Linked DNA regions of Callithrix jacchus. The protein of the gene in region 1 purifies or fractionates together with the protein of each later gene. This does not show direct contact. Links are inferred from orthologs where the notes say so. Each region holds a gene or a part of one and is shown in the gene's direction. Other genes may lie near its edges.

The links.
Region 2: the proteins of DNAJA2 (region 1) and LLGL1 purify together in Homo sapiens (co-immunoprecipitation; 3 studies listed by BioGRID and IntAct, with this or other methods). This does not show direct contact. The link is inferred for Callithrix jacchus from reciprocal best matches to the Homo sapiens genes DNAJA2 and LLGL1.

What each region holds. Positions count from the first base shown.
Region 1 is NC_133521.1:4,611,253-4,614,901, reverse strand, and holds part of DNAJA2 (dnaJ homolog subfamily A member 2), read left to right. Parts: intron 1-2,706; coding exon 2,707-2,903; intron 2,904-3,649. UniProt on the Homo sapiens protein: Co-chaperone of Hsc70. Stimulates ATP hydrolysis and the folding of unfolded proteins mediated by HSPA1A/B (in vitro).
Region 2 is NC_133506.1:82,663,543-82,667,191, forward strand, and holds part of LLGL1 (lethal(2) giant larvae protein homolog 1), read left to right. Parts: intron 1-100; coding exon 101-182; intron 183-277; coding exon 278-408; intron 409-1,525; coding exon 1,526-1,684; intron 1,685-1,763; coding exon 1,764-1,926; intron 1,927-2,019; coding exon 2,020-2,155; intron 2,156-2,395; coding exon 2,396-2,450; intron 2,451-2,584; coding exon 2,585-2,739; intron 2,740-2,838; coding exon 2,839-3,062; intron 3,063-3,219; coding exon 3,220-3,287; intron 3,288-3,649. UniProt on the Homo sapiens protein: Cortical cytoskeleton protein found in a complex involved in maintaining cell polarity and epithelial integrity. Involved in the regulation of mitotic spindle orientation, proliferation, differentiation and tissue organization of neuroepithelial cells.

The sequences.
Region 1 (3,649 bases):
GGCAGTGAGCTGTGATCTTGCCAGTGCACTGCAGTCTGGGTGACAGAACAAGACTTTGATGCAAAAAATAAAGTGCGAAAGTAATTACTTCATTATGCTTAAGCCCAGTGAACATAGAGAAACAGTAGATTTGTATTATGTTAGTGAAAGGTGACTCTTAAATTCCGAAGAGAGGAGCAAGATGATTATTTGTCCCTTTTCTATTTCCTCCTTTATCAAATATAACCTTTTATTAATTTCTGTAGAAATGACCACCATGGGAAGACTATCTCCTTTATCATATAAAACTTTTTAAACTACAAAGGGACAAATCATCAAATAAGTAACTAAACAATAATTGTTTAGTTATTCTGATAAGTTGAAGATTTTACTGTAAGCTTTAGTTAGTTTTTCAGGATTGATTTTGCAATTGAAGCTGTCCTTAAAAAACTAAATAATTTAGACTTTGTAAGCCAAATAGTTTTTGTTACAATTGCTGATCTCTGACCTTTTAGTGCTTTTATAGCCACAGACAAATGGGTGTGGCTGTGTTCTGATTAAAATCTTGTTTAGGCCAGCTGAAGTGGCTCACCCCTGTAATCCCAGCACTTTGAGAGGCTGTGGTGAGTGGATCATGAAATGAGGAGTTTGAGAACAGCATGGCCAATGTAGTGAAATCCCGTCTCTACTAAAGATCCGAAAAATTAGCTAGGCTTGGTGGCGGGAGCCTATAATCCCAGCTACTCGGGAGGCTGAGGCAGGAGAATTGCTTGAACCCAGGAGGCAGAGGTTTCGGTGAGCTGAGACTGCACCATTGTACTCCAGCCTGGGCGACGGGGAGACTCCATCTCAAAAAAAGAAAAAAAGAAAAATCTTATCTGTAAAAACAAGTAGCATCCCCCACCCTCACCTTTCTAGAGCAGTGCTATCCAATAGAATTTTTTCCATATTGTGATGATAGAAATGTTCAGTATCTGCAGTGTTCAGTATAATATCCACTAATCACCTGTGACTACTGCATATTTCACGTGGCTAGTGTGACTGGGGAACTATTTTAAATTTGAATTAATTTAAACATAAACTTAAGTAGCTACAGGTAGATAGTGGCTACCATATTAGCAGTACAGTACAGTTCAAGAGCATCCTTTTCCAAATTGTTCTTGGAAGTGATGAGATAATTATGAGAAGCTACATAGGATATTACCCTTCCTGCAGAATCTTGGCATTTTACTTTATTTTTAATTATTGTTTTTGGAGATATGATCTTGTCACCTGGGCTGGAGTGCAGTGGCACACTCTTGGCTTACTGCAGCCTCCACTGCCCATGCTCAAGCAATCTTCCAACCTCAGCCCCCCCCCCCGCCCCCAACTCCCAAGTAGCTGAGACCACCCCTGCTTGCCATCACGCCCAGCTAATTTTTGTATTTCTTGTAGAAATGGGGTTTTGCCGTTTTGCCCAGGCTGGTCTTGAACTCCTGAGCTCAAGTGATCCTCCTGCCTCAGCCTCCCAAAGTGCTGGGATTGCAGGTGTTAGCCACCACACTTGGTCTCATTTTATTTTATTAAAATTGCTAACAACTCCTGCTATGAAGAAACGAAAGTTTGAGACCCAAGAGAAATAAAGAATTTTAAAAGAGAAAAGAAACGTAAGTTGACTGAAATCTTTTCCCATGTACCACTACCTTTTTTTTTTTTTTTCCGAGACAGTCTCGCTCTGTCTCCCAGGCTGGAGTGGAGTAGCACGATCTCAGCTCACCACAGTCTCCACCTCCCGGGATCAAGTGATTCTCCTGCCTCAACCTACTGAGTAGCTGGGGTTATAGGCACACACCACCACGCCCGGCTAATTTTTGTATTTTTAGTGAAGACAGGGTTTTGCCATGTTGGCCAAGCTGGTCTCAAAACTCCTGACCTCAGGCGATTTGCCCACCTCCATCTCCCAAAGGGCTGGGATCACAGGTGTGAGCCACCATGCCCGGCCACCATTACCATTTTGAAGAACTGGTGTTTTGAAGAATGTAAGTACTGTTACAGAAACAGTCCCTTAATAATCAGTTATACACATCTTTCTAAGCCTTCAAATGTGCCAGTAATTGGCCATTAGAAAGTGACACAATTTTTTCACACTATGTAAAATGACAGTTTTGCTTTTTTACACCATAATCAAATATTTCAGAAGAATATGTAGAAGAGAAAAGCTATGTTGCCCTAAACATGGTATGGATACATTACATTCTGAAATAGTGGGTAGCTGAGTCCCTCAGGCAATCTGCAGTAGTAAGATGCAAGTTTCTGTTATTCAGAATAGTGCTTTTTTGTTTTGTTTTGAGACATGGTCTCACACTCACCCAGACTGTGGTACATTGGCATGTTTATAACTCACTGCAACCTCAGACTTCAGCGCTCCTCCCTCCTCAGCCTTCCGAGTAATCAGGATTACAGGTGTACACTACTATGCCCGGCTAATTTTTTTTAATTTGTAGTAGAGGCAAGGTCTCACTGTTGCCAGGCTGGTCTCAGATCCTGAGCTCAAGTGATCCTACCACCCTGACCTTGCAAAATGTGGGGATTACAGGCTTGAGCCACTGTGCTCGGCCTCAGAATGCTGCTTTGAATAAAAATTTAGATAGCGATTAAAAGAAGTTCAGAGAGTATATTTAAATAGTAAGGATATTAAAAGTACAGTATAATACTGTTACTGAAAGTTTCAATGACTTCTCTTTCCAGGAGAGGTAATTAATGAAAAAGACCGCTGTAAAAAATGTGAAGGGAAGAAGGTGATTAAAGAAGTCAAGATTCTTGAAGTCCACGTCGACAAAGGCATGAAACATGGACAGAGAATTACATTCACTGGGGAAGCAGACCAGGCCCCAGGAGTAGAACCAGGAGACATTGTTCTGTTGCTACAGGAGAAAGAACATGAGGTGATTTTACTTTTTTAAAGTTTGTTTGGTTTTATATTTTGTTTTATTCAGAAGTACTTCTTGCCTGTGAGAAATAGATTAGATCTGTTTGGAGTCCCTGGAGCAACACTGCACACTGGTGAAGTTAAGGAAGTCATGGCTGACTTCCTAAGACTGGCTTGTGTAAGAAAGACTAACAAAGCAGGCACAATTAGAAGCACTGTAGGAGTCAGTTTTAGTCCTGGTTTGGTCTTTTTTTTTTCTTTTTTCTTTTTTTTTTTTACGGAGTCTTCTTCTGTTATCCAGGCTGGAGTGCAGTGGCACGATCTCTGCTAACTGCAACCTCCGCCTCCCAGGTTCAAGCGATTCTCCTCTGGCTTGGTCATTGACTAGCACTGAAACCGTAGGTAGTCTTTCTGTCTCAATTTCTTCTTTGTTTATGAAAATAAGGGCATTGGGCATTGGACCAGATGGTCTAAGGCAGCCTGTTTTCACTGTGAAACTCTGCTGCTCTGTTGATTTGGTTTTTATTTATTGGGTAGCCAAGTGAGCTATCCTAGAAAGGGTTCTTGGGTTTTCAAAATACCATTTTTTTTTTTTTTTTTGAGACAGAGTCTTGCTCTGTCGCCAGGCGCCAGGCTGGATGGAGTACAGTGGCGCAATCTCGGCTCACTGCAATCTCTGCCTCCTGGTTTCAAACAATTCTCAGGCCTCAGCCTCCCTAGTAGCTGGGACTACAGGCGTACACCACCATGCCCAGCTAATTT
Region 2 (3,649 bases), on another chromosome or scaffold:
GGGCCCACCAGAAATAGTCTGGGTGAAGGAGGAGCCTTGGGTATCTCTTGCCATGATTTCCTGGTCTATGCCTGTTTCCACCTTGACCCGCCACCCTCAGCTATGGTGCTCCTGGTGTGGAATTCACAGGCCTACACCGGGATGCAGCCACCGTCACACAGATGCACTTCTTGCCCGGCCAGGTGAGCCTCTGCATCCCACTGGCCAGCTCCCTGTGGCCCCCATATCCACTCACTCCCCTAGGCCAGCCCAGTTTTCATCTCTGCTCATATACCAGGGCCGCCTCCTGACCCTGCTTGATGACAGCAGCCTGCATTTGTGGGAGATTGTCCACCATAATGGCTGTGCCCACCTGGAAGAGGCACTGAGCTTCCAGCTGCCCAGCCGTCCCGGCTTTGATGGTGCCAGGTACTGGAGAACTTGGCTGGGGCCAACCACCAGGCGGGGAGGATCCAGGGAGGCTCTGAGAGCCTGCTGTGTAAAGGCAGCATGGGGACGGGCAGCTGCTAGCAGGGGCTGGGTTCAGGGAGCCGTGCCTTGAGCCGTGCCTGGGTCCTAGGCTGCAGCTGTTGGACCCTGCAGACAGCGAGTCTGGTCTGATGCTGTCCCACCCCCCAGGCCCCTTTCCCTGCAAGGCCGTCAACAAGATTCTGTGGCGGAACTGTAAATCTGGGTAGGTCAAGGGAGTGGGTGTCTGATGTGAGTGAGGTGTACTCTGCGAACTTTTCAGGTTAAATGGGAAGTTTGGGTTGAGTCGAGGTGAGCAAGTAGTTAACATTGTGAACAGCAGGAGGTATATGCATTATATGCCAAACTCCTAGGACCTGAGGCCTGGCACTACACTTACTACATTGATGGGGGTATCTAGGGGTTTGGGGCAGGGCCTAAGCCAGTAAAATAACAGCAAGAGTCCCCTGGCCCCTCAGTTGTGGGTGGGAGACAGGCCTTTCTCTGCATAGGTGAGAGGACAGGCTTGAGGGCATGGAGGGTCCCATGGGCTGTGTTTGGTGAGGTGCTGGCAGCATGCCCCAGCTGAGTGAGAGTAGGGGGCATCCCTCTCCCCAGCCCTGCCTGAAATAGCTGGAATAAGGGAGTCCTAACCCAGGGTTGGATTCCTGGTGCCTCCCAGCTTCTGCAGATGGGGGTATCTGGGGCCCTCCTGTGAAGTGAGGAGATATCTGAGGGTTGGCAGCACGTTTCCTAGGTGGGGCTCAGGGAGGAGCTCCTGGTCCTGGCTTGGGCAATGCCCTGGTTCCTGCTGTCCTCTCCTGGTGGGTGGGAGGAGCTGGGAGCTCAGTCTGCAAGACCTGGGGAGCCTATTTTTATCTGTCTCCCTGCTGACATCCTGATGAATAATTGAGCGGGCTGATTATGACCCATGTCTTCCTGGGGTGGCTCTGTAAGTAGGCCCTAGTGTGTGCTGTGGAACCAGCGATGAGTTATCAGCAGTGGCCCAGCCCCTCACACCCCACCTCAGCAGGTGGATGGGCTCCCACCCTCACTCCCTTCCCCTTGTTACCTGCAGTGTACCACCCAGCCTTACTCGAGTCACAGTGGTCCTGCTAGTGGCTGCCAGCGACATAGCAGCCCTGGGCACTGAGGGCAGCAGTGTCTTCTTCCTGGATGTGACCACCCTGACCCTGCTTGAGGGGCAGACGCTCGCCCCAGGCGAGGTTCTGCGCAGGTAAGAGGCCTGGTGGGCTTCCTAGCACACACTCTATGCCCGGGAGGTTCTCCTGGCTCACACCCACCTTTCTTCACAGCGTGCCAGATGACTACCGCTGCGGAAAGGCGCTGGGCCCTGTGGAGTCGCTCCAGGGACACCTGTGGCACCCCACGAAGATTCTCATTGGCTACAGCCGGGGCCTGCTGGTCATCTGGAACCAGGCCTCACAGTGTGCGGACCACGTCTTCCTGGGGAATCAGGTAGGTGGGTGAGGCCTGTGTCCCCTCAGCCTGGGACCCTTGTGCACGCCCACCATGGCTCATGCCTGCCTGTTTGCCCACACCTGCCCACAGCAGCTGGAGAGCCTATGCTGGGGGCGTGACAGCAGCACTGTCGTCAGCTCGCACAGCGATGGCAGCTACGCTGTCTGGTCTGTGGATACCGGCAGCTCCCCAATGCTGCAGCCCACAGTGGCCACCACACCTTACGGTGAGTGCTGGGGAGGCTTCAGCCAGAGGGTGGTGACAGGAGGAGGCACCACTGAGCCAAGCCAAACTGGCTGAGGAGTGACTCCCCTGAGGGCCTGGTCTGGGGGCAGTGTGCCTCTCCCCCACCCCCCACGACTTTCCGGGGAGGCAGGAGGCAGCTGCAAGGTAGAGAGCAGTAGAGGAATGGCAGAAGTGCTAAGAACCACCAGCGAGTCTGGTCTGATGCTGTCCCACCCCCCAGGCCCCTTTCCCTGCAAGGCCATCAACAAGATTCTGTGGCGGAACTGTGAATCTGGGTAGGTCAAGGGAGTGGGTGTCCGATGTGAGTTGGGTCTCGATGGGGGCTGGAAGGGTGGGCTCTGCCTGGGACATGCAGTATGTACTCCAGAACCAGGTGGCTCATGGCTCTCACACCTCCCTCCACACACAGGGGCCACTTTATCATCTTCAGTGGTGGCATGCCCCGTGCCAGCTATGGTGACCGCCACTGTGTGAGTGTGCTTCGAGCTGAGACATTGGTGACGCTGGACTTCACCTCCCGCATCATCGACTTCTTCACTGTACACAGTATTCGGCCTGAGGATGGTGGGTGCCCTGCCCTGCCCTACCCTACCCTTTCCCAGCCCCACCTGGCACCTTTGCCACCTGTGGCTGCACTCACCCCATGGCCCTTCCATCCCACAGAATTTGATGACCCCCAAGCGCTGGCTGTGCTGCTGGAAGAGGAGCTGGTGGTGTTGGACCTGCAGACTCCTGGCTGGCCAGCGGTGCCCGCCCCATACCTGGCCCCACTGCATTCGTCTGCTATCACCTGCTCGGCCCATGTGGCCAATGTCCCCGCCAAGCTGTGGGCCCGCATAGTGAGCGCTGGCGAGCAGCAGAGCCCCCAGCCTGTCTCCAGTGCCTTGGTGTGTTCGGGGGTTGGGGAGTCTTGCAGGGTGGAGTCTTGATGAGTGGGGAGTGTTCCAGTTCTAGGCCTGGGGGTCAGAATGTGCCATGCGTGGGATGAGAGGGAGAAGATGTTTGTCCTAACCTTGTGTGCACATCTCTGCCACCCCCTCCCAGAGCTGGCCCATCACTGGGGGCCGGAACCTAGCCCAGGAGCCGTTGCAGCGAGGGCTGCTGCTGACCGGGTAGGTGTGCATGCGTATGTGGGTGAGGGGCCCCTTGCTGTTGGGGGAGAGCCCAGGAGACTCAGGCCTGGCCCCTGGTGGAACCAGGTAGTTCCTCATTGCCTAGGGTGGATTGGGATGAAACCTCCCTGGACCTTGGTTCAAGGTGCTGGCTGCCCTGCTCTGCCTTTTGGCCTGGAACTAAGCTCTACCAAACCTGAGGGCTCCACCCACCCAGCCTGCCTGCCCTGGGACTGGAAAATCTGGGCTGGCCCACACTGAGGTACCCAGGGAAGGTGCCAGAGAGCCCAACCTGGGCCTGGCGGGCACTGACGTGCCCGGTGACTCAAGCCCCAACTTCCTGCCCTGCCCCCACTCCCACC